Linked DNA regions of Lytechinus pictus. The protein of the gene in region 1 purifies or fractionates together with the protein of each later gene. This does not show direct contact. Links are inferred from orthologs where the notes say so. Each region holds a gene or a part of one and is shown in the gene's direction. Other genes may lie near its edges.

Region 1 (11,622 bases):
CATAAGAAGTGTTGCATGTTTGCAGTGGCTCACTCTTTGATCATTTGTCCAAGTAGATGCTTTCTTTGCTCAATTATATAAATATTGATAACTGATTAAATCTCTTAGGATCAAAGAAATTCTATATTTAGGAGAATGATTACCCTGATGGATGCCGTTGTGGACTGCCAACATATACTTGTATTCTAATGTCCTGTTTTTAGATCTGTTGCATAAACTGTGTTTGATTGCAGTCTTTGTAATCAGTTGCAATCCTAAATGCACCCTTCTGATTGGCTGAAGAAAAGGTCGATTGTGAGCGTGTCGAATTCCATGCAAACGCAAGTTGAAAGGCAGTAGACTTTATTATTCATCCTCCCATAAGTCAAATCAACTATCATTTCAGACTAGAATATGAAAACATTCCTTATTTACATGTCCCAATTCGTAAGTCAAATTTTGCACAATTCGTCCTTCCATAAGTCGCAACACCTCAGTATTAGCGGAATTTCAGACCAGAATATGAAAAACATTACTTATTTGCTTGTACTCTAAACAGAATTTTGTGGTCCCCCCAAAATTTTTTACTGTGGCAGAGTCACCTGCTGGGGACTGTTTCATGAAAGTTGTCAGCACTGACAAGATGTCTTTCTCCGACAGTTACAATAGTGACAGTCAGAGGCCAGAGCTTCTCAGCCAATCACAAGCAAGGATTTCACTGAAATAATCAGCACTGACAATTAAGTCAGTGCTGACAACTTTCATGAAACACCCCCTATGCCCATTCCTATATCATTGTCTGATTCAATCTCATATCAAATGTTGTAGTTCTGCCAACTTGGCCGTCTTGCTCATGAGGTCGGCTGGAAGTACAAGAACATCGTCGAGGCTTTGGAGGAGAAGAGAAAGGCCCGCGCCCATCTGCACTACCAGAAAGAACAGAGGAAAGTGGTAAGTCACTTTTCTCAACCACTTAATCATTTCAGTCTAACTTTTATTGTCGACAAGTGGGATTTAAAGTCGAGGCGTAGAAACAGTGAAGGAAATACATGAGCCTGAAAGGCAATTATGCCCTCCAAATGGCCCCTCAAATTCTGAAAGTAGATTGCTCTGGGATGACCATCATCTTTTGTAGAGACGCCACAAAAAATATTCATGAATATTTTTTAAAATCAATATGGCAGAACAATGAGGTTTGAATTTCACAAATTTCTTGTTGCATAAATGAACTAGCCATCGGAATGAAAGGATTCGCTCCAACAGTGATACTAACATCCCAACTTGAAAAAATAAAATAAAGTAACCCACAAAAAAGAACAATGATTTCTTACCATGCAGAGAAACTTGTTGAAGGATATTGGAATAATCTAATTTTGTGGAAGGTGGGAGGCACTGACCAGCTTGCTAATGATGACTTTTCATTCTACCTACATTGTTTGATAACTACAATGAGAAAAAGCATGAATTCTGATGCACATTGGTCAATATTACCACTGCGGTCCAAGCTGAATTACCACAACAAGTGACTTACCATGCAGAAGTTGTCAACAGCTTGATTTATGTAATTGTTGCATGCCCATCAGAATAGAGACAAGTTTTGTCTTATCTATTCAATTTTTTACACTTGACAACAGCAATAGATTTGTCCCTATGTTGAAATATATGTCTTCATAGCAATTTTCAACACAATACTCGGTTAACATCGATTGAACCTTTTTTTTCAATGTAGCTTTTGCATCACAAAAACAAAACAAGAAAATATTCAATAAATCTTTTTTTAAATGATATTCATACTCAGTGCCATTTTTGGTTGATGCTCTCTATGTGTTTTGTTTGCACTCTCAAAATCTGATCTTTGTCACACTACATGTACAGAGTGGCATGTGAGGGTTCCCATACATGTGGGCAAATCCATTGCGTCTTATCCTCTTGTTAAATGAATTATGATATTAACTTATTTTTCTACTCTGCTTCCCCCCCCCCCCCCGACCCAGGCCCTGCGAAGGAAAGCGGTAAAGAGTGTTGGAGACAAAATCGCCCCCTACCAGAAGATCATTGAAGGCTATGGCTTCCATTGAAACACATCTATCAATGAACTGTTAAGACCATGATCACACCAAGTGTTCATTCTGCAGTGAATAAAGTCACATGCAAAAAAAAGAAGGAAACGAGTGTCAATGTGTCTTTTTGAGTCTGGACGGCCTCAATAAGTTTCTAGTTTGTCTTCTGTTCAATTGTCCCTACCGGACATACAGGTAACTCTCCCAGGTAAATTGCTGATTGCCCTACACCTCATTCTCTTCGTCTTTGCGTCTCCTCTCATCCCACTTGGTCTAATCTTTATTCATCGGCAACCAGTTCGTCTACTTAAAGGACAAATCCACCCCAACAAAAAGTTGATTTGAATGAAAAGAGAAAATGCAACAAGCACAACACTGAAAATTTCATCAAAATCGGATGTAAATTAAGAAAGTTATGACATTTTAAAGTTTCGCTTAATTTCACAGAACAGTTATATGCACATCCTGGCTGGTATGCAAATGAGGAGACTATGAGGTCATCCACTCACTATTTCTTTTGTATTTTATTATGTGAAATATGAAATATTCAAATTTTCTCATTGTCAAGTGATAAAACAATTAATTCCTCCCTGAACATGTGGAATTAGCATGTGGTTCAGTCAAGTTGGTCCTTATTGTCAAATATCTAAAAAATGAAATATTGTATAATTCAAACAAAAAACAAAACAAATAGTGAGTGATGGACATCATCGACTGAGTGACCTACTTATGCTTATCACTGTTTTGTGAGAAATAGTGAAACTTTAAAATGTCATAACTTTCTTATTTTACATCCGATTTTGATGAAATTTTCAGCACTATGCTAGTTTGATTTTCTCTATGCAAGAAAGCATTTTCCTGGGGTGGACTTGACCTTTAACATTTGGTCATATTGCCATTTAACCCATTTACTAGTTTGCCTAATTTCTAGTTAGGTCCTACCCAAATATTGATTTGGTTCAAAACCTCTTAGTCTATGGCCCGTATTCTGAAGTCAGGTTTAATTTAGACCATGGTCTAACTCTGCTAAAATTATGGGAAGCCAAACGTGTCAAAATTCTTATTAAGTTGTATGTTTCTTATGTTCACTGTACAATCATCTATGTATACTTTCTAGACAATTATGAATGATTTGAGAGCCAAATGAACTGAAATATGATATCTCTAATGTTAGTGATTTATGTAAAAATTGGCTATCCATACTTCAACCAAATGAGTGCCTATAAATACCCTTAGGAAGCAAGATTAAATTTAGATAAATCAAATACAGTAACCCTGCATGAGAAAAATTTCATAATATATGAATAATTTTCTGGCTGTTGGTGCAAGATGAAAGGCATGGAATTTTCGTAACATTGTTACATAAAGGAAATATTGGACCAATTTCATTAAGAGTTGCGACTATGATGGTAACTTTGCCATTATCATGGAAACTACCATGGTTGTGATTGGCTGCTGAGCCCTGTTACCATGGTAGTTGCCAAAATGACAAAGTTCTTTGGAGTTGTAACTTGTGAAATTGGACCCAGATGTACGCCACACACAAGATTGGGATGGTATACAGTGGAAAGTAACGGTGGGAATAAATGAACGTATATGTAGAACTAAAATACAATTGTGCAGTAGAGGAAGGGGGAAGGGAGAGCGACTGAAAGAAAGGGGAGAAGAGGGGGAATATTGGAGGAGGGGAAGGGAAAAGGTGAGGGAGGGAGGGAGAGAGAGGATGATACAGAGGGGGGGGGGGGTGAGGGAGAGAGAGGATGAGACAGAGGGGGGGGGGGTGAGGGAGAGAGAGGATGAGACAGAGGGGGGGGGTGAGGGAGAGAGAGGATGAGACAGAGGGGGGGGGGTGAGGGAGAGAGAGGATGAGACAGAGGGGGGGTGGATATAGCGACAGGGCAGCCTGAGAGATATAGGGGAGAGGCAATTAAGGTGAATGAGTGAGGGGATTAAGATGGGGGGGGGTACTGGAAGAGCGCCTGTTCTGAGGGAGAAAGGTTGGGGGGGCTAGAGATCTCAAGAAAATTGTAGGGAAAAAAAGAGGCATCTTCTTGTTGCTAACATGGGGTATAGAAATGTTGCATTATATACTTTTCAAAGCCAAGTTTTACACATCTCATTTGAAGCAGATTGGTGTCCTCATCAATATAACACCAATGTAATGAAAATGGGACTGCATTTCCGAACGGAGGATGACTCTTCATTTTTAGGCCACGCCTCGATTTTAAAAAAAATATATATTTTTTTTTTTTTTGTCCCGTGCATTATATCATAAAATGCACTATATAGCTGTCATATATAAGCCTGGCCGGGGCCTATACTCACCCAATTTTCTATATGGTAGGCCTACATGTCTTTGATCGAGCACGCAACGTTATTCTGCTAATGAGATATGCAAAACTTGATTCTGAAATCCCTCTATATCGGGCTCTATATAGAAGCCTATACCTTCAATTGCAAAATACTTAAGCATATACATCTACCCCCGGACTCTGAAGTTGCAGGAATCATTCTCGGGCCGAGCTCGCCGAGAGCTCATTGGAGGTACTTACACAGATTACTTTACTGACCATAGCCAAATGGGCAGCAAATTATGCCTACGTGCATGTCATTCTGGTAAATTTCTCAATTAAAGGGATGGTCCGGGCTGAAAGTATTTATAGCTTAAAGGGGAATCCAACCCAAATAAAAACTTGTTTTTATAAGGAAAAGAAATATCAGACAAGTTGATAGGTGAAAGTTTGAACAATATTGGACAAACAACAAGAAAGTTATGAATTTTTAAAAGTTGTAAATATTGGTAATCACTATACCCACGGAGACTTCAAATTGGCCGCATATGGGATGTCATAGTGATGTAAGGCAAGGACTACTCTTCCATGTACTCCAATACATATTATGGCTAAAATGTCATTTTTCCCAAAAGTTTTATTTCAAATTATATTTTTCTTTCATGAGGACATAAAACAATATACTACCTGGGTTATATTTAGATTACTGCCACAGGGGAATGGGTACTTAGGAGAAAACCACAAATCCTTGATAATAAAGTACATGGCCTATGGGAAAGTTGTCCTTGCCCCTTGTCATAATTTACTTACCCAGTTGCCAATTTGAAATCTACATAGTACTAGTGATCTCAATTTTAAAGCAGCTATAACATTCTTATTGCTTGTCCGATTTCTTTTAGACTTTCTCCATTCTGTTTAATTTATTTTTCTCCTTCCCAACACAACATTTTATGGCCAAGGCTGGATTCCCCTTTAATAAATAGAGTAGAATTCACTGAGCTAAATGCCGAAAATTTCATCAATTTCGGATAACAAATAAAGTTATTGAATTTTAAATTTTAGCAATATTTTGTGAAAACAGTCGTCATGAATATTCATTAGGGTACCGGTAGGAAGTAATTCCTTAAAAAGCTGTGTGCGCTATGAACGCCTAGCTTAGCCGGGTAATATAGGAGCGCCTTGAGCACCTAACAAGGTGGATATGTGCGCAATTTAAATACCCTATATTATTATGTGGGCTGATGATGTCACATCCCCACTTGTTCTTTTGTATTTATTATATGAAATTAGGTTTATTCAAATTTTTACCTCGAAGAACTAGAAAAATTGGATTTACAACTGATTTAGTGCATAAGATATTTATTGCTGCATCTTATTTCATTATAAGGGAGACATATTATTCACACAAGTATGAAATAATGAAAAAATTATGATTGTATGTGATAACATAGAAAACGGAAAGGGGAGATGTGACATCATCAGTCCCCCACATTCATGACGACTGTTTTCACAAAATATTGCTAAACTTTAAACTTCAATAACTTTATCATTTGTTATACCGAGGTTGTTTTACCTGACTGCTAAGAAAGCATGAATGCCTTTGAGCAAGCAACCAGGGGACCAACGGCTTAAGGTCCTCTCCGAGGGACCTGGTAATGAGGATAAATGCCTTACCAAAGGGCACTAGCGCACCACTTGGGAATCGAACCCTGGTCACCGGACCGAAACCCCGCTCTACCGACTGAGCTATCGCGCCTCCCCTTTATCCGATTTTGATGAAATTTTCGGCATTTTGCTCAGTGAATTCTACTCATTTTCAGCCCGGACGATCCCTTTCCCAACTCCTAATAAAGCAAGCAATTACCAAGCAAACCCAACATAAACTCTTTAATTTACGAATCTCATTTCTTTTCCCTCATCATCTCCCCCTCCCCCTTTTTTGGCTTGTCCTGGAAATTTTGGGGCCCTAATCGATCCCAATTACTAGGCCTACTCGACTTGATATTGACTTCCCACTCCCCCCCCCCCCCCCCGTGGTCGCTGTTGGAATTTTGGGGCCCACCTCCCCCCCCCCCCCCGTTTTTACGCCAGTATTCTAATAATTGAATCCAATTAAAGAATTAGAAAATGAAAACAAAAATAAATGTGAAGTCTCAATGTTACCCTCACCCCCCCCCCCCCCCCCTCTAATTCGGTAGCCGCGCTGCTGCGTATACGTCGCAATAGTCAGCAGCAGGCTCGTTGGTGTATGCCCAATTTTCGCCAATAAATTCTATAGGCACATTCACTGTACTTTTCACAATACGTGTTCTTTTGATACCAGGATCGCAGTCCATATTTAAAAAAGAAGAATTTTTCAAACCCGCTTCAACAGCTAGAGGTTACTATAAATGTTTTGCACACGCCACGCAAAAATAAAGCACAACGAGGTAAAGCCCGGAGCTAGGCCAGTGCTGGCCGGCCTAGCGTAGCTCCTGAGATTCCTACCCAGCTCGGCCCCGGTACACGTGTTTGTACGGCCGTAAACAACTAGTCAAGTGCATCTAGTACCGTGTGCAAAGACCAGACAAAAACTGACTGAGCCTGCTGGACAATCTCGCCAAGTTCTTCGTTTTAAACCGTAAATTAAAAGAAGAATCATGTCTGTACTTGCAGTTTGCACTCTTGCCGGACCTGGAGAAGTAAAGGGGGTCATCAACTTTGAGGCTAAAGAGGTATCTATCGGTCTGTAGTCTCTTAATTTTTGAGGAAAAGAAAACTGATGTCTTGATGATGACTGAGTCAATGACTGGCATGAAAATGACTGGCATTTTGTAATCATGCATGCATTCCATGGCCATGCCCATGGCAGCCACTCAACTTGTGATAGATAGGCCTCACGTTAAATGAAAAATAAATAATCCAAACTGTGCAAATAATGTTGAATGTCGACTCCCATGATGACTTATGACTGTGACTATGATGAGTATGATTATGATATGACTTTATGAGGCATGAAGAAGGCCAGGCATCACCTGGTTGGGGGAGGGGGGGGGGGCATTCATGATTTACTATGATAGTTGATGCAAGTTCTGAGCTTTTCTGTCTGAGAAATGGTGGTAAAACACGTGGTCATTCCTTAAAGCTAGAGAAAAGATATTCACGTCTTGACGTGCGTAAATTTTTTCTTTGCTAACCGAGTGATAGATGTGTGGAACAGTCTCCCAGAAGATGTAGGTACCGGTTCTGCTTGTTCAGTGATTGCATTTAAGAATAGACTGGATACCGATAGGCATTGGGAGAAGATTGCCTATGATTTTGAGTGATTTTCGATTCTCGTGTGTTCTCATGGAATTGTTTTGCTGTCTACGATACCCCTGCCACCCCTCCCTGCCAACATAAGTAGCACACCTAATTTTGTCTGAAGGAGAGCCGCAATAGACTTTCTACTTTGATCGATGAACAGGCTTAGTCCTACAAGTACAACATCGTTGGAGTAAACTAAACGAACAAATTGTATTTTGATTGATTGGGTGTGATGTGTGTCACATTAACCCTAGCTGCAGCTGACTTTCAAAGTCTTCAGTTTTCAGCATTTCATTTCAAGCCCATTTTCACTGAACTATTCCGGGGGGCACTCGAACACAAAAGTGGTAGGTAGACTGCATGTAGACCCACTCATTCAATGTCAATGAACAAGGTTATGATATAACCTAAAGTTATAGACTCTATATGAAATATTGTGTAATTCAAACAATAAAAATCAAAAGAAATAGTGAGTGAGGGACATCATTTACTCTCTTATTTACATGTCACTGAGTTGCGCATATAATAACTTTTGTGAAAAGTAAGCAAAACTTTAATATGTCGTCCATGTAGGTCTTATTTTACATCAAATTTTGATGAAATTTTCATTGGTGTACTTGTTTGAATTTTCTCTATTTATTCAAATCAACAGTTTTCTGGGTTGGACTTATTAAAGTAGATCTAGCATCTATCGGGCTACAGTATCTGCAATGCACCATGCAATCAATGACTTGTGCTGGATCTGGGTATCAGAACGCAAAGGCATGTGATACATATTTGAAACAACATTTCCCAAGGGTCATTAATTAATGCTTTAAAGGAAATGCAAGCGTCAAGCAAATGCCAGCAGGCAGTGAGCAATTGCTTGAGCTTACTAGTAAAAACCTTTTGCTTGCAAGCAATTGCTCATTTTTTATGCATACACAAGTAAAAACCAAGCAAAAGCAATTGCTAGTTTTTATGCATCCAAGCCATTATGATTCTAAAAGAAAAAATTTAAGGAAAATCAGCTTTGACTGAATTTGACTAAACCTTAACCTGTTTATGCACAGGCACCATTAAAGTCAGTTGTAGTAGAATCTAAAAAGGGAAAAATTGAGTTTGAACAAATCCAACAGATAAATAAACAATTGAATGATTATCTTAGATTCACTACAGTGATTATCTCTATTCAACTTGTACCTTGGTTTCAAAGGATAATATAAAGCCTTGTTAATTGTTCAGTTATGTGAATTATACTTCAGTAAATATGCCAGTCTCACCGAAGTGTACATGTACAGTATATATAGCCACTGAATCCTTTTTCAAACGCCGATTCTCTGAAAATTTCAATTATTCAAATCTTAGATACCTTCATTTTATTAGATATTAGGGATTTTTGTGTTCCTCTTCAAAAAGGGTACTTGGAAACACTCGTCTTAAACCTTAGTACTTCGATATCAGAAAGCCACATAAAAAAGATAATGTTCTGAAAATTTCAGCCAATTCCATGCTTTGGATTTGGAATATATTTTGTATTAACCAAAAAAAAAAGGAAAAAAAGCATTTGATCAGGCACCCGATCATGATAAATTTGTATACAGTGTACATGTAAATGAGCAAAATTTAGCTTGGAAAACACATTGTCATTTCATATTATCCTCCACTTCGTAATACATGTAGTTTTAGGGCATACACATATCCATGTAGTAGTAATGACTTCGAATAGTAATACATGTGGATACATTTGGGGGAATTTTACCAACTTTAATAGGTAAAGGCAGACTTTGATGTTGGGGGGAAAAATATGCAGGTACCAGGCATGTATACTACCTTTTTTATCCCCCACCAGTACTGTACCAGTAGTTATGTGTGTACTTCCTTTATCTTTTTATCTATTAAAAAGGAGGGGGAGGGGACCATCAGTAGTACCGGTACCTGCCGATTCCAATTGTTTCAAAGAATTGATTTCAAATTTGCAAATGAAAGTTGAAAGATGTTTTTTGCAATATATCTTGGATATAAGAAAAAAAGCCATCAATGATTGCTATTAAAAAAATAAGAAATGAAAATTCATTCAAGACCGGACTACACAAGTAACGCAACCATTTTAGTTTTGCTTTCATTTTTCATATTAAGGGAACAGTAAATACTTACAATGTATATGGTTCCATGACATTTGCTAAGGCGACAATTGCTTCGCTGCAAATTCTACTCATTAAAGGGATGCTCCAGGCTGCAGATATTTATATCTCAATAAATTCACAGAGCAAAATGCTGAAAATGTCATCAAAATCGAATAACAATGTTATTGAATTTCAAAGATTTGCATTCTTCTGGTGAAACAGTTCTAGGCATGTCTTCATGAATATTTATTAGGTGGGCTGATGATGTCATATCTCTACTTGTTCTTTTGTATTTGATTATACGAAATTAGGCTTATTCAAAATTTTCCTACCAAGAACTAAAACAATTAGATTGACAACTGATTAAGTGCATTAGTTATTTCTTGCTGCAATTTATTTCATAATATTGATAATGGAGACATTAAAAAATTTAATAACATAAAGAAATAGGAAAGTGGGGATGTGACATCATCATTCCACTCAATGAATATTCATGAAGACATGTGTGGAACTGTTTCAGCAGAATAATGCAAATGTTTAAAATAACTTCATTATTTGTTTTAATATCCAATTTGATGAAATTTTCAGTATTTTGCTCTGTGAATTCTACTCTATCTAGCTATAAATATTTTAAGCCTGGAGCATCCCTTTAATGGAATGGCCAACTTCAACCCTGAGTTTAACACTATACCCTATCCTAAACCTAACCATAAACCTACATGTAACATAAAACTATATTTGCAACCCTAACCCTGTATCTTAGACAAAATAAAGCCCGGAGCAATTGTCGCCCGAGCAAATGTTGTGTTATACAAATAATGCATGCAGCCGAGTGCGTTAGTGGAAATGCAGAGCACGCGAGGTTTCTTTAGATAGGAGTCGCACTGTGCACGAGCCGCTTGCGGCGAGTGCCCAGTGTGCTCCATCTGAAGAAACCGAGCTTTCTCTGCATTTACTTTTACGCACGACAGAGCAAGTGCATTATTTGTTTTATAAAATAGCAACACAGAAACAATTTTGAAAAAAGTTACAGTACAGTTTTGTTGGACTTCTACCGCACTGGTTTGCTTGAGCGTGCAATGTCAATTTTCGTTGCACACCTTTTGCATGAACATGGAATTGTAATTTTGGCATTAAAAAAGTAATAGGGTGGGGGAGCTTGTTGAAAGATTCGAAACAAATCAAGTAATAGTTTTGATATATTTACGAGGTGTCTTGCCCATTCTGTTTTAGAATTTTCAAGTTTTACAAGTTGCCCCTTACTTTAAAATTGTCTGATTTATTGCATTTTATCTTCTTTGATCAAACTCGAAATGAAGGCCAAGCTTTCTTCATCCTTAGATGTATTGTGAACCTTTTCGCAACCCTCCTTGGTGTTTGGGAGCTTCCACAAAATTCCACTTAATATTGAATTTGGACTTAAGGCCTAGGGCTTATTGAAGATAATTTGTACATGTACCAATAAGTCAGTTCACAGGATAGCTCACATCAACTTTTCTCGAATGGCCTTTTGCGATTTTTCATTAGGATGAGCACTAACATTTTCAAATGAACAAGTTGCGTATTAAAGCTTTTCAGGCAAAGCATTCAAATTCTAAGAATGAAAGGCATTGTAATTTGTATCTAGACATTACCCTTGCAGCTCATCGGGTGGTGTTCTGATATGCATGGTTTAGTTATTGAAACAGGGTTAACTTAGACCATGCTTTTATGGAGTGCCAGTTGATTATTAAACCTTATTCGCCAATTGAATTTATTCTTATCGAGCTGCAAAAAATTGTAGAAAATGAATCAAGTTGTGAAATGTGAAGAATACACATGTAGGATAATAAAACGAATTATAATGAATCTTATTGAATTATTATAATTGTCACAAATATGGAATACATTGCTATGAAGCCC
Region 2 (11,214 bases), on another chromosome or scaffold:
CAGAACAAAGTCGCTCGCAGCTAAGCGAAGACATCCGATGTTCGGAGTAGTTCAGATTGGACCTTGGTGTTTGGAAGTTCTTTTCCTAAAGCTAACATAGCATAGAGGGCACATGACATGACTCCCACTCTCTAATCAGCACCAATCCACGGACTCATCTTCCCTCCTCAGGGAAGATGGCGCTGATTCATTGCTCAGACTCAGAGAAGATCAGTGGCTCATGTGCCCTCTATGTTAGCTTTGGGAAAGAGAACTTCCAAACACCAAGGTCCAATCTGGACTATGTTTGGAGCAGAAAGAAGTCCGTTTGGTAAGTAAATTATCATTACTTACCGATTTCTATATAGAAATTGATACTGTAGTTATATAAGCAGGGGCCGCGGAACGGTTTTCAAAGTGGGGGGGCTGACCGCGCAAAAAATCACAATCATATGGTCATTTTTACGTTTTTGTACACGGTTTTGGAAAAAAGTGGGGGGGGGGGGCTGAAGCCGGTCCAGCCCCCCCGCTTCCGCGGCCCCTGATATAAGTAAAATCGGAATTTGCGTAGGGAAAGTAAATTATTTTATCAACAATTAGCCTAAGCCTTTTAGTATTACAGAGACCGAAGCTTGTTACTAGTTTTGGTCAACAAAAACTGTCTGTCTTGTAGTTGTACTTGTAAGTTGTAGTTGTCCTTGTCATGCTTGTCATCAGTCATGCTTGTACTTGTACTATGATAACAATCGACAATATGTACTAATAATATTGGTTGAAACTGAAAGAAACAGAAGATTGCAAGATCGAACTTGTGTTGAAATGACATTTAAATTGTGAAAAGAAATGTGGAATAAGTACTAACCATGCTAACATTAATAGAAAAGAAAGACAGAGCATTCAGATTCAGAATCAGAGTCAGACTAACGTTAGTTCAGACATCCAGAATTCGGCAGAAATTAAAAACAAAACTTAAAAAGAATGTTGTTGGGGGCACACTTCACTTCTAATTTGACTTCTAAAATGTGCCTATGCGTTCAAAGAACAAAGCTACATTAATAAATAAAATCTTACTTACGCCTTATGTAAATAGAAGATGAGATTTTGTTAAGTTACACCACCAGTTTGTCCAGGGCAGGTCTTCGGGGGAGTTACGGCTGAGATCAGTGACAAATGCCGGTAAACCAGCTCACGTTGGTTGCACGCGCACGTGTAATCTCGAATGTTCGCACGTGCTGCATCAAAGCCTCGCACGCACGAATATTGCATAATCAAGGGCATTTAAACATTTTCGAGTGCCCTGCACCCACATAACCAAATAAATACACATCTCATTGGGTAAATTAAACGTAGAATTGATTGCTTTGAAATGATGTTATGGCTTTTTTATTTTTATTGATATCTACAATATTCAATGATGGGACAGTGGGAGCAATTTATGGCTTTAAAATCAAGAAGTTTTTCATAATTTTATATTCATACAGGTTACAGGGCTACCCTTGAATTCTACCGTCATATGTAATCGATTAGAACACAACCGATGGGATGTTAGACTCTGTTTAGTCATTTATCTAAATTCATTCAAAGACATGCCTATAAAAGGTATAGTCTGCAGGTACAGAATTAGTTTGCGCAATTAGTGCTTAATGCAGAGTCTGAAGTAGTGAGACTTTTTTTTTTAATAATTCTGTTTTTATTATACAAATTGAAATAAATCACAAAATTTACAAATGATTAATAGGTGATTGCAAATCACATAAACACAATTTAGTTACACAAAAAATAACAACCATAATAATAATTTAAAAAAAAAAAAAAACCTACCCACTTATCCTCCCCCACCCCCCCCCCCCAAAAAAAAAGGAATGTGGCAATGCGATGACTTAATATCAGTGTTATCTAAACAAAGATAGGTGATTTGGTAAATAAAGTAGACAAAACAAAATATACAAGCTATGATTATATGAAGTGGTTTCCAAACAACTATTCATAGGATTAAAAAGCACAACTGGTTATCCAAGACGACATAATTATGGAGGTTTTTAAACGAATAAGTATATCAAGGTGACTGAGATACAAGTTGCATGAAAAAATGGGATCTGATGTCTACAACCATAATTATAACCAATACAGTGCAGTATTATATAAAAAAATGGGACACTAAACCTGTTATACAAAATATACAGTGTTAGTTATCATGTAACCTATACTGACATTTTTTAAAACCAAATTATAAGGTGAATCGCCACTTCTTAAAGTGAGCGGGCAACTTATTTTTTTTCTTAGCTATCAAATATTCCAAGTCTTGTTGTTTTTTAACAAATGTTTTAAAATGAGCAAAACTTGGAGGATTATTCTTAAATTTACATGTATGAATATAATACTTCAAAAGTAAAAAAAGGTATGAAATGAACTTATCAGTTGAGAGTCCGAACATTTTTTCAAAATTAGAACCATTTATTTGAACATTATTTTGGGAAATTTTCGTTAAAAGGGATTGCCAAATAGGAATTACCCTTTCACATTCGCAAAACAGGTGGATAATTGTTTCCTCACTTTTATCACAGAAAACACAATTGGGTGAATCCTTAGATTTAATCTTATACAAAAAATCATTTAATGCTATGGCTTTATGAAAAATCTTAAAATAGAAAGATCTTAATTTAGTATCAATGGTACAAAAAAAAATTGTGTAGTGTACCTTTTCCCAATCGATAGATACTGGTATTGGTAAACGTTCATCCCAATAAGAGTATCTTTTGTCAGGTGTGTGTGATCCCCTAAATAAAATGTATGAATGTCTAGGGACTTTTTTATAACTCAACAATTTATGTACAATTGTTTCATGAACACCAATAATATCAGGGTCAAAACTCACCAACCATTCTTCAGGGATGCACTTAAGTAAAATAATTATATTTCCTTCTGTCTGTTTGGGGGATTCCAAAATCTAACACAAGCTCTTCAAAGAGTTTGTGACCTAAAAGAGGAGGATTAAATAAGTCAGATAACATTAATACATTTCTCTCATGCCACATTGGATAATTAAGATACTGTTTAGATTTTGAACGAATCAATTTGTTATACCACAGGAGTTGACAACCACTCAAATCTGAAAAATGTTTACCATAACATTCGACAGCAGCTTCCTCCCTAAATGAATACCACATTCTCAATGCTTCAGCTAATTGTATATTACCAAGACTGTTTAAAATGCTCTCAGGAGCATGAGATTTCCACAAAATTTGAATATCATGATTAATTTTTTCTAAAAAGGCTACTTCAATCTTTTTCCATGGAGCATCAAAATTCTCATCCAATAGGTGTTTTACCCAGACCATTTTTTGAGCACATGCAAAAGAAAAAGGGTCAATCATTTTTAGTCCAGCCTGAGTATAATCATTACACATTATCTTACGTTGAACTCTATCCTTGCCTCCATTCCAAATAAATTTAAAAAATAATTTATTTAATTCTTTAAAAAAGGCTCTGGGTAATTTAACAGAAAGAACAGAAAAAAGATAGATTAACTGTGGCAAAATAAGAGTTTTGACAACACAGATTCTACCAATTAGAGAAAGGTTTCTAGTTCGCCAGCAGTTTAAAGTTTGCTCCATTCTTTTTAGTTTCTCTTTATAATTTAACTCATAAATTTGTGCAACATTAGACAAAGATTAGAGTTTGGCATCTAGTCTTTATTCTAGACATGGTTGGTTGAATTATAAGTGTCAAATATGAGTATGTGCTGGGAGACTATTTAAGTGACTGGAAATGTGCCCGGGGAAATGCTCCCATGCGGCATTTTTTCAAAGGACAATTAGTCCACCCCAACAAAAAGTTGATTTGAATAAAAGGAGAAAACCCCTACAAGCATAACACTGAAAATTTCATCAAATTTGGATGTAAAATAAGAAATAGAAATGACATTTATAAGTTTCGTTTAAGTTTCACAAACAATATTCACATTCCTGGTCGGTACGCAAATGAGGGGACTGATGACATATATCACCCACTCACTATTTATTTGTATTTTATTATATGAAATATTCTAATTTTAGCCTCATTGTCCTGCGAAAAAAAGTTAGGCCTATATCCCCGCGAGGCTCATGTGGTATACCATATTGTTATTATGTTTTTTGGTTCAGTAATATAAATCGGTAAAAATGGAAATACTGTATTATTCAAACAATACAAAACAAACGAAATAGTGAGAATAGACATCACCGACTCTCTAATTTGCATATCACTGATTGTGCATATACCAAGGAGATATCACTGTATAACTCCTTGATATAGCTGTTTTGTGAAAAATAAGCGAAACTGTTATTAAGTTATCCGATTTTGATGAAATTTTCAGCGTATTAGGCCTATAATGCTTGTTTGATTAAAATCAAAACGTTTCTTAGATGGACTTGACCTTTAAGCTTTAGTGCCAGACATGCCACAGGGGCCTGGATTTTTTTTAAGATGGGGTGCTGGCTTGTAAAATTTTGACAGTCAAGCAAATGAACATTTGTAAAAATAAGTTTCACTCCAGAACTTGATGAAGGTGAATTTGATCAGAAAAAAATTGAATGAAGAAATGAATGAATGAATGAATAAATAAATAAATAAATAAATGAATAAATAAATGAATGAATAAATGAATAAATGAATAAATAAATAAATAAATGAATAAAAACAAATAAATAAATGAGACTAAAAAAATAAAGGTTTTCACTAGAGGTGCTTTCGATTAGAAAAATATGATTTGACAAGCAGGAGGAAAAAAGTGTTTTGTTTATAGACTCGCCACTCAGTTGCGCCCACTTTGGTCGGGTGCGATAACCCCAGCACGCCCACTACGTAGGGCCTTGCCCTTGACATCTCAATTTTTCATTAAAATTCTGTGTTATTTCCATTTAAAAGTTAATTGTAAGCGGACTATCTGGGATATAGGACTTTTGCTCAAAAAAAAAAATAGATTTTGATATATTCAACATAGGCCTATAAATTATATCGCCCTTTCCTATCATAGAAGTGGAACTTGAGTGAGGGTGAATTCATGCAGAGCTAGCACAAATTAAGTCACCCCACCCAGGACCAAAATCCAGTTGAAACCAATTAGAGCAAAACGAATTGAAACCAGTTGGCCAACTGGTTTCAATAGGGAAATTGGAACAACTGATTCCAAATGAAACCAGTTGCCAATTGGTTCCAGTTAAAACCAATTGGGCAACTGGAACCAGTTGGCAATGGGTTTCAATTGGTTGAGTTGAAACCAATTAGGCAACTGGTTTCAATTGGTTCCAATTTCCCTATTAAAACCAATTGAATCCAATTGGAAGCAACTGGTTTCAATCAGGGGTTCCAGTTGGAACCAATTGAAGGCAACTGGTTTCAACCAGAACCAGTTGAAACTAATTGGTTTCCAACTGGATCCGATTGGAACTTCCAGTTGGAATGAATTTAATTAGTTACAAATTTTGCCTCCGACGAAGATTCTGCTAGGATCGAAAGCTTAGGCCCCTGTTGACTTTCTATAGATACAAATGAATTAGAATTTGCATTAACTATTGCTCATGCCAACAAAGAAGCAATGTTATATGTCTATTAATACCAATGTAAAGGGCGTTCATTATTGATAAAATAGACTTTCATATATATATATTTATATGAAAGATCTTCAAATATATGTATTTGTATTTGATTTAATTTGGTAACCAGTTAGTGGTGTACTTATGACCTTATAATCTGTTTTAATTATAATCTAAAACATTTATTAACATGGTTTTCACTGCTAAGCATTCTAAACACTTATCTGAAACAAGTATGGTACCTGAAATGGAAAAGAATTAAATAGGTACATTGTAAATGATGATGAATCACATAAAACATTCATCTGTGCACACTGGCAGATAATATGCAAATTAACTCGTTTCAATTGGAACCAGTTGGGTAACTGGAAAATTTCCATTGGAAACCAATTAGAAGTCATCTCCAGTTACCCAACTGGATCCAGTTGGGATTTCCAGTTACCCAACTGGTTTGTTCCAGTTAGGATTTCCAGTAACCCAACTGGTTCCAGTTAGAAATCATTTCCAGTTGGAAGTCATTTCCAGTTACCCAACTGGTTCCAGTTGACCAACGGGTTCCAGTTAGGATTTCCAGTTGCCCAACTGGTTTCAATTGCATGGTTTCAACTGGAAATTGTTATATTCCAGTTAAAACCAATTGAAATCAAACTGCGCTAATCATACATGCATAAGTATATATAGTGTATATAATGAGCCGGTAATGAGCAAAGACAATAATTGAGCCGGGGCAATTAACATGCATGCAGGTGTCTCATGCAGTTTAAAACAAAATCAGTTTAAAATTTCAAATTGTCAGTTTTTTGTTTTTTTAGCGGCCTCTTTATCTTATGTCTATGATTATAATTTTTTTATATGTATTGATCGATTCCTTTTGGCCGTGTAATGCTCCCAAGCCATCTACACGCCTGTGACATGCAGGGCACAAACGGGACACATAATAAAGGAAATTTCCCTCAGGAGTTTAAATTAGACGGCCACATACTGATAACTCAACGGACCTATAAGGAATGATGCAAGGACTATTCATTTTTTTTTTTCGAACAGTTTTCTTTTATACACTACGTCTATTATTTTATGTTTATGCCATTCTATATTTAGTTGTATGATTTCGATTGTATTCATATATTCCATGCCGGGATTCCATGCCCCCATTGACGCCCCTCGACACTATCTTGACTTCAAACGGCTGTCAAGAAAGTCTAAAGGAGATCGATCATCAAGTTTCTAGAACGTTCGGGGACCCTGCCGCTGACCCTGATGTGATGCAATGTTTTATGTTCTTGCAAAGTAGATAAATTAATCCATTTGTGTGTATTAAATGTGAACGACGATTATTATTGTCCCTTTTCTCTGTCTCATAGACGATGTATGAGATGAGTTTATTTATGAAAGGGGAATTTTAGAGAGGTTTTTAAGAAAGGGGGAGGGGTCGTCAATGCGTACGCGTACGCGCGCGGCAGCATTGTTTTTGCTAAACACGTGTGATTAGCCGAGCGGACCTGTGCTGTGCAACAAGGGTCGAGATCGAGACTGCCGGATAGTCAAAATTAAACGTATCTTAGGGAAATAAACCTCAAATAAAATGGTAAGAAAATTTATACGATATGAATGTTTCGTTCAGATGTACAATATATTGATACATTCAAATATTAGTTGTTCTAGATCATGTGAAATTCGACTTGGCTTGATCATGCAGTCCCTGGCATTAAATTCTGTGTGTGCTGTGCGCATTAACGTGTTATTGTTAATATTCTTGTTTGAACTTTGTCTTTGATAGTGGTACTGCGTTAATTCCGTTTGATTGAGTGTAGCAGCAATGTCTGGTAGTACTTTAGTTTGTAGTGCACGCCACTACCGGTGGTCATGATGGTGATGATGATGATTGGTAGGACATCCTGATCCAATGACAATGTATCACTATCAGTTATCACTATCATTAAAAAAAAAATAGAGGGGGATCAGAGACGGAGGGGTACTTAGTCTTAGGCTTTCAAAAAGTGAGCAGATGTTGATCAATATTCAATGACTGAGCTGAGTTTGAACTCGGAACTGGGGTTGAGAATGCAGGAGTCTGAATGAGGAGAAGGCCTTACACAGGCTTAACTTCTGGAGTAAAACAATGAAAAGTTCTAATAAAAAGAGAATCAAACTCAGAGGAGGAAAGCTAAGAGAAGAGGAGGAGGAATTCATGCATGCATGGAATTAAAATTGAGGAGGGGAAAGAGAAAGGGAAGAAGAACAAATCAATTGGAAGGGGAGCGTGAGGAAGTGGGGGAGAAGTTCAAGAAGAATATAGAGCAACTCAACATTTTATCACTTGTTTTCCCATTCATACTTTTTATCCCCACCTTTATTTTATTTTTGCTATTTTTCTACCTTTTTTTTATTGCTCTTCTTGCCTTTTACCTATGTCGATCAATGCCCACTTTCCATAAGCCCTTTTCCTTGACCTCCACTGCCATGGTACAGGAGAAAAACATTGTTGTAGCCTGGCCTAACTTATAATATCTACTATACCATGAACTACTGAGCTAACCTTAATAATGGATCACTGAAAGTACTTCGGTGGCCTGGTTGAAGATTAACTACAGAAGCACAAGATGTTTGATGCGAAGCGTACCGTTGCAGAGCGCTCTGTCGGGTCCTAGCTGGAGTATGTATACTGCCGGGGTATGTCACGTTCACAGGCCAGGTGATACACCCTTTCAGCTATGGATTCATTAGAAGCAAACTCAAACAACTACTTAACCTACAGGAATGACTCGGCTTATATAGGGAACCATGAGCTGTGACTAGAGCCAGGAGTTATGTGGCTCGCCAAAAGGGAATACGTATGTAACCATATGGATAGCAGATAGATAAACTATATAAAAGTGCTTGTCACTACAACACATTCTTGACCAGTGTAGTACATCAGTTATTTCTCTCAAAATGTTTTTTTTTTTCCTGAGATTTTTATTTTGTTTTTAAATCTTATATTCTCAGGCTGTTTTCAGGAGATTCAGACCACTGTTTGACCGGATCCTTGTGGAACGACTTGTCCCCGAGACCAAGACCAAAGGAGGTATCATGATCCCAGAGAAGGCTCAGCAGAAGGTCAATCAAGCTACCGTTGTAGCAGTAGGAGCAGGGTCTAGAGATTCAGTGAGTATTCAGCAGGAAAGGGAAAAGGGTGTTGTTTCATTTATAAAGCTGTACATTGCTTTACTTTATGCTTCAGTAGGAATCACAACATTTTTTTTTATGTTGAAGTTCGCTGTTAATAACGTGAACATGACCACTAGTGTCTACTATTGTCATTTTCAAATAAATTTGTGGTAGGAAATCCAACAGAATCAAACAAAAGACCACTGAGTGATCGTACCATTACCTTGCATTGCGTAGTATGACTGCTCAGGCAAATATTCTGTATTCTTTGCCAATTGATTCCGATAGAAAAATCATTCAGCAATATTAGCAAAATGAACAAGGCATTTTATCAGTAGCCTAGTCTTTTCTTCAAGATATGATTATTTCTTACATCTTACCAGACCACGGGCCTGTAGCAGAAAGTGTTAAAATCGCATTCAACTCCAAATATCAATTGCAACTTGTCAACCAAACAGAGGCATACATTTATCTCATTTTTAATTACTTCTGTTGGCCTTTTTTTTTCTCATCCAACACAGTCGGGTACTGTGCACAAGGTCGCTGTAGATGTTGGTGATAAAGTTCTACTTCCAGAATTTGGAGGAACCAAGGTTTCATTTGAAGAGAAGGTAAAGTACTGAAACATTTGGAATAAATGTTTTCCACATGTCATGATTTTATTTTGTGGTTCACGTAGTGGTGGATAAAGATAACTTTTGAAATGTAACTTTTATTTAGTTTATCAGTCATCAACCGTGCATGCACATGTATTTGCAACCGATCGTAGCATTATGAATGACATAAAACATCCTCAGAAGGTCCCCTTTTTCATTGACTGCAATGTTTTTATGTTATTAATGATAATATATTTTCATTCTTTCTTTCTTTCTTTTACAGGAATATTTCATCTTCAGGGAAGGCGATATAATAGGAGTTCTGAATGAGGAAAAGTGATGGAGATTTAGAACAATATCTAATTATAACATGTGACCACAGCCAGTGTTGACTCCTATTCGATGCATGTATGATGTATGGTGTAAATATGAAGATGATTTATTGGTTGGATGATGGTGTTGCTTTTCTACAAGTATTTGTCTTTGTATTTTGATATGTTGCAGTCTTGGATTTGCCTAAAATGGAAAGTTCAAATATTATGTTAATTTACTCATTTCCGTTTGCCTCATAAAGGCTCATATTATATTGATTAATGATGGGAAAATGCGTCAATACAACCCCTTTATCTTGCTTTTAACTCTACCCAGTCCAGTTTACACAGATTTCGAAACTGCATAGCATGACCATCTAACCCTGCTGCAATATTATGTTACTAGTCATACAAATATTTTTAAAAGGGTGACAGTATCCTTGTATTTCAACTACTATCACTGTCATAAGATGGCAATTTGTTTTAGATACATGTACAAGATTTTATCAGTAATGATTTATATCAAGCCCCCCTGTGTAAAGCAACACTTAAATTTTTCTTGGTAATCTGTTACCCTGGCTCTGTTTCATGAAGCTTGTCAGCACTGACAATGTGTCATTCTCCAATAGTTACCATAGTAAACACTTACAAGCAATTCTTGGCCAATGGGAACCAAGAACTTCACTGAAATTGTCATAGCTGACAATGTAATCAGTGTTGTCAACTTTCATGAAATGGTGTCCACTAGTTTATTTCTTATCCTATCAGTATTGAAAAAAATAGAAAGCAAACTGGCTCTGTGATTGTATACTATTCTGTTGGCCTGGTGCTTTATACATATTAATTACATGAACATTGTAGTACTGACAACTGTATTCTTAGCATCAATTCCGATGGTCGTTGTGAATTGCTCCTTGCATCCTGATGCTTATCTCAAGTTTTGGCTGTTAAATCATCATTAACCAAAATAGTGTTTGTACTATGTACCTTTGAGGTATGGATATGTCAACATTCATGAATGAATAGCACCATGTATGTAAAATTATGACCTGATCATGTTGATTAAAACTGAATTACATTGTATATCTTCCAAACGGTTTCACGGGACTGAATCTGTCAACTAATTCTCTTTCATGTGGTAAATCACACTAAGAGAAGAATATATATAGAGTACCAAAGTGATGACATCACAAAAACCCTTCAGCATTTCTACATCATACCAGGGCGGGGCATGATGAAAAACTCCCAACAGCCCAAATTTAGTGGGAATCAGTTGATGGGGGCCAGAGGATATGACCTCTTGAAAACATAATTTGCCCCATTAAGTCAGTGTACCATTGGTGTGGTTCATTTAATTCTTGGGGCCCCCATTGAATGATTCCTACCAATTTTTGTGGGTTTTGGAGGTATTGCATGAAAATGTCTTTAAAAATGCTGAAATACAAAATTGATGTCACACTTCAGTGCTCTATTGCAGATCAGATTTTTATGAGGGTTTATGAACAAATCTGTCCCTTGCCTGGCAATTGTAAAAAAATGAAATAAAATGGAGGGATCCGTCATTGTTTTATTTGAAAGGGGGGAAAATGGCTGCCATGAAATTGAATG

The links. The genes of interacting proteins can lie anywhere in the genome.
Region 2: the proteins of superoxide dismutase [Cu-Zn]-like (region 1) and 10 kDa heat shock protein, mitochondrial-like purify together in Homo sapiens (affinity purification with mass spectrometry; 3 studies listed by BioGRID, with this or other methods). This does not show direct contact. The link is inferred for Lytechinus pictus from reciprocal best matches to the Homo sapiens genes SOD1 and HSPE1.

Annotation. Positions count from the first base shown.
Region 1 is NC_087248.1:24,270,443-24,282,064, forward strand, and holds the start of superoxide dismutase [Cu-Zn]-like, read left to right. Parts: upstream 1-6,526; 5' UTR 6,527-6,969; coding exon 6,970-7,044; intron 7,045-11,622. Other genes in the region: large ribosomal subunit protein uL13-like, read left to right, coding at 808-930, 1,974-2,057. UniProt on the Homo sapiens protein: Destroys radicals which are normally produced within the cells and which are toxic to biological systems.
Region 2 is NC_087257.1:28,124,336-28,135,549, reverse strand, and holds 10 kDa heat shock protein, mitochondrial-like, read left to right. Parts: upstream 1-6,831; 5' UTR 6,832-7,134; coding exon 7,135-7,137; intron 7,138-8,537; coding exon 8,538-8,696; intron 8,697-9,220; coding exon 9,221-9,310; intron 9,311-9,578; coding exon 9,579-9,635; 3' UTR 9,636-10,689; downstream 10,690-11,214. UniProt on the Homo sapiens protein: Co-chaperonin implicated in mitochondrial protein import and macromolecular assembly. Together with Hsp60, facilitates the correct folding of imported proteins.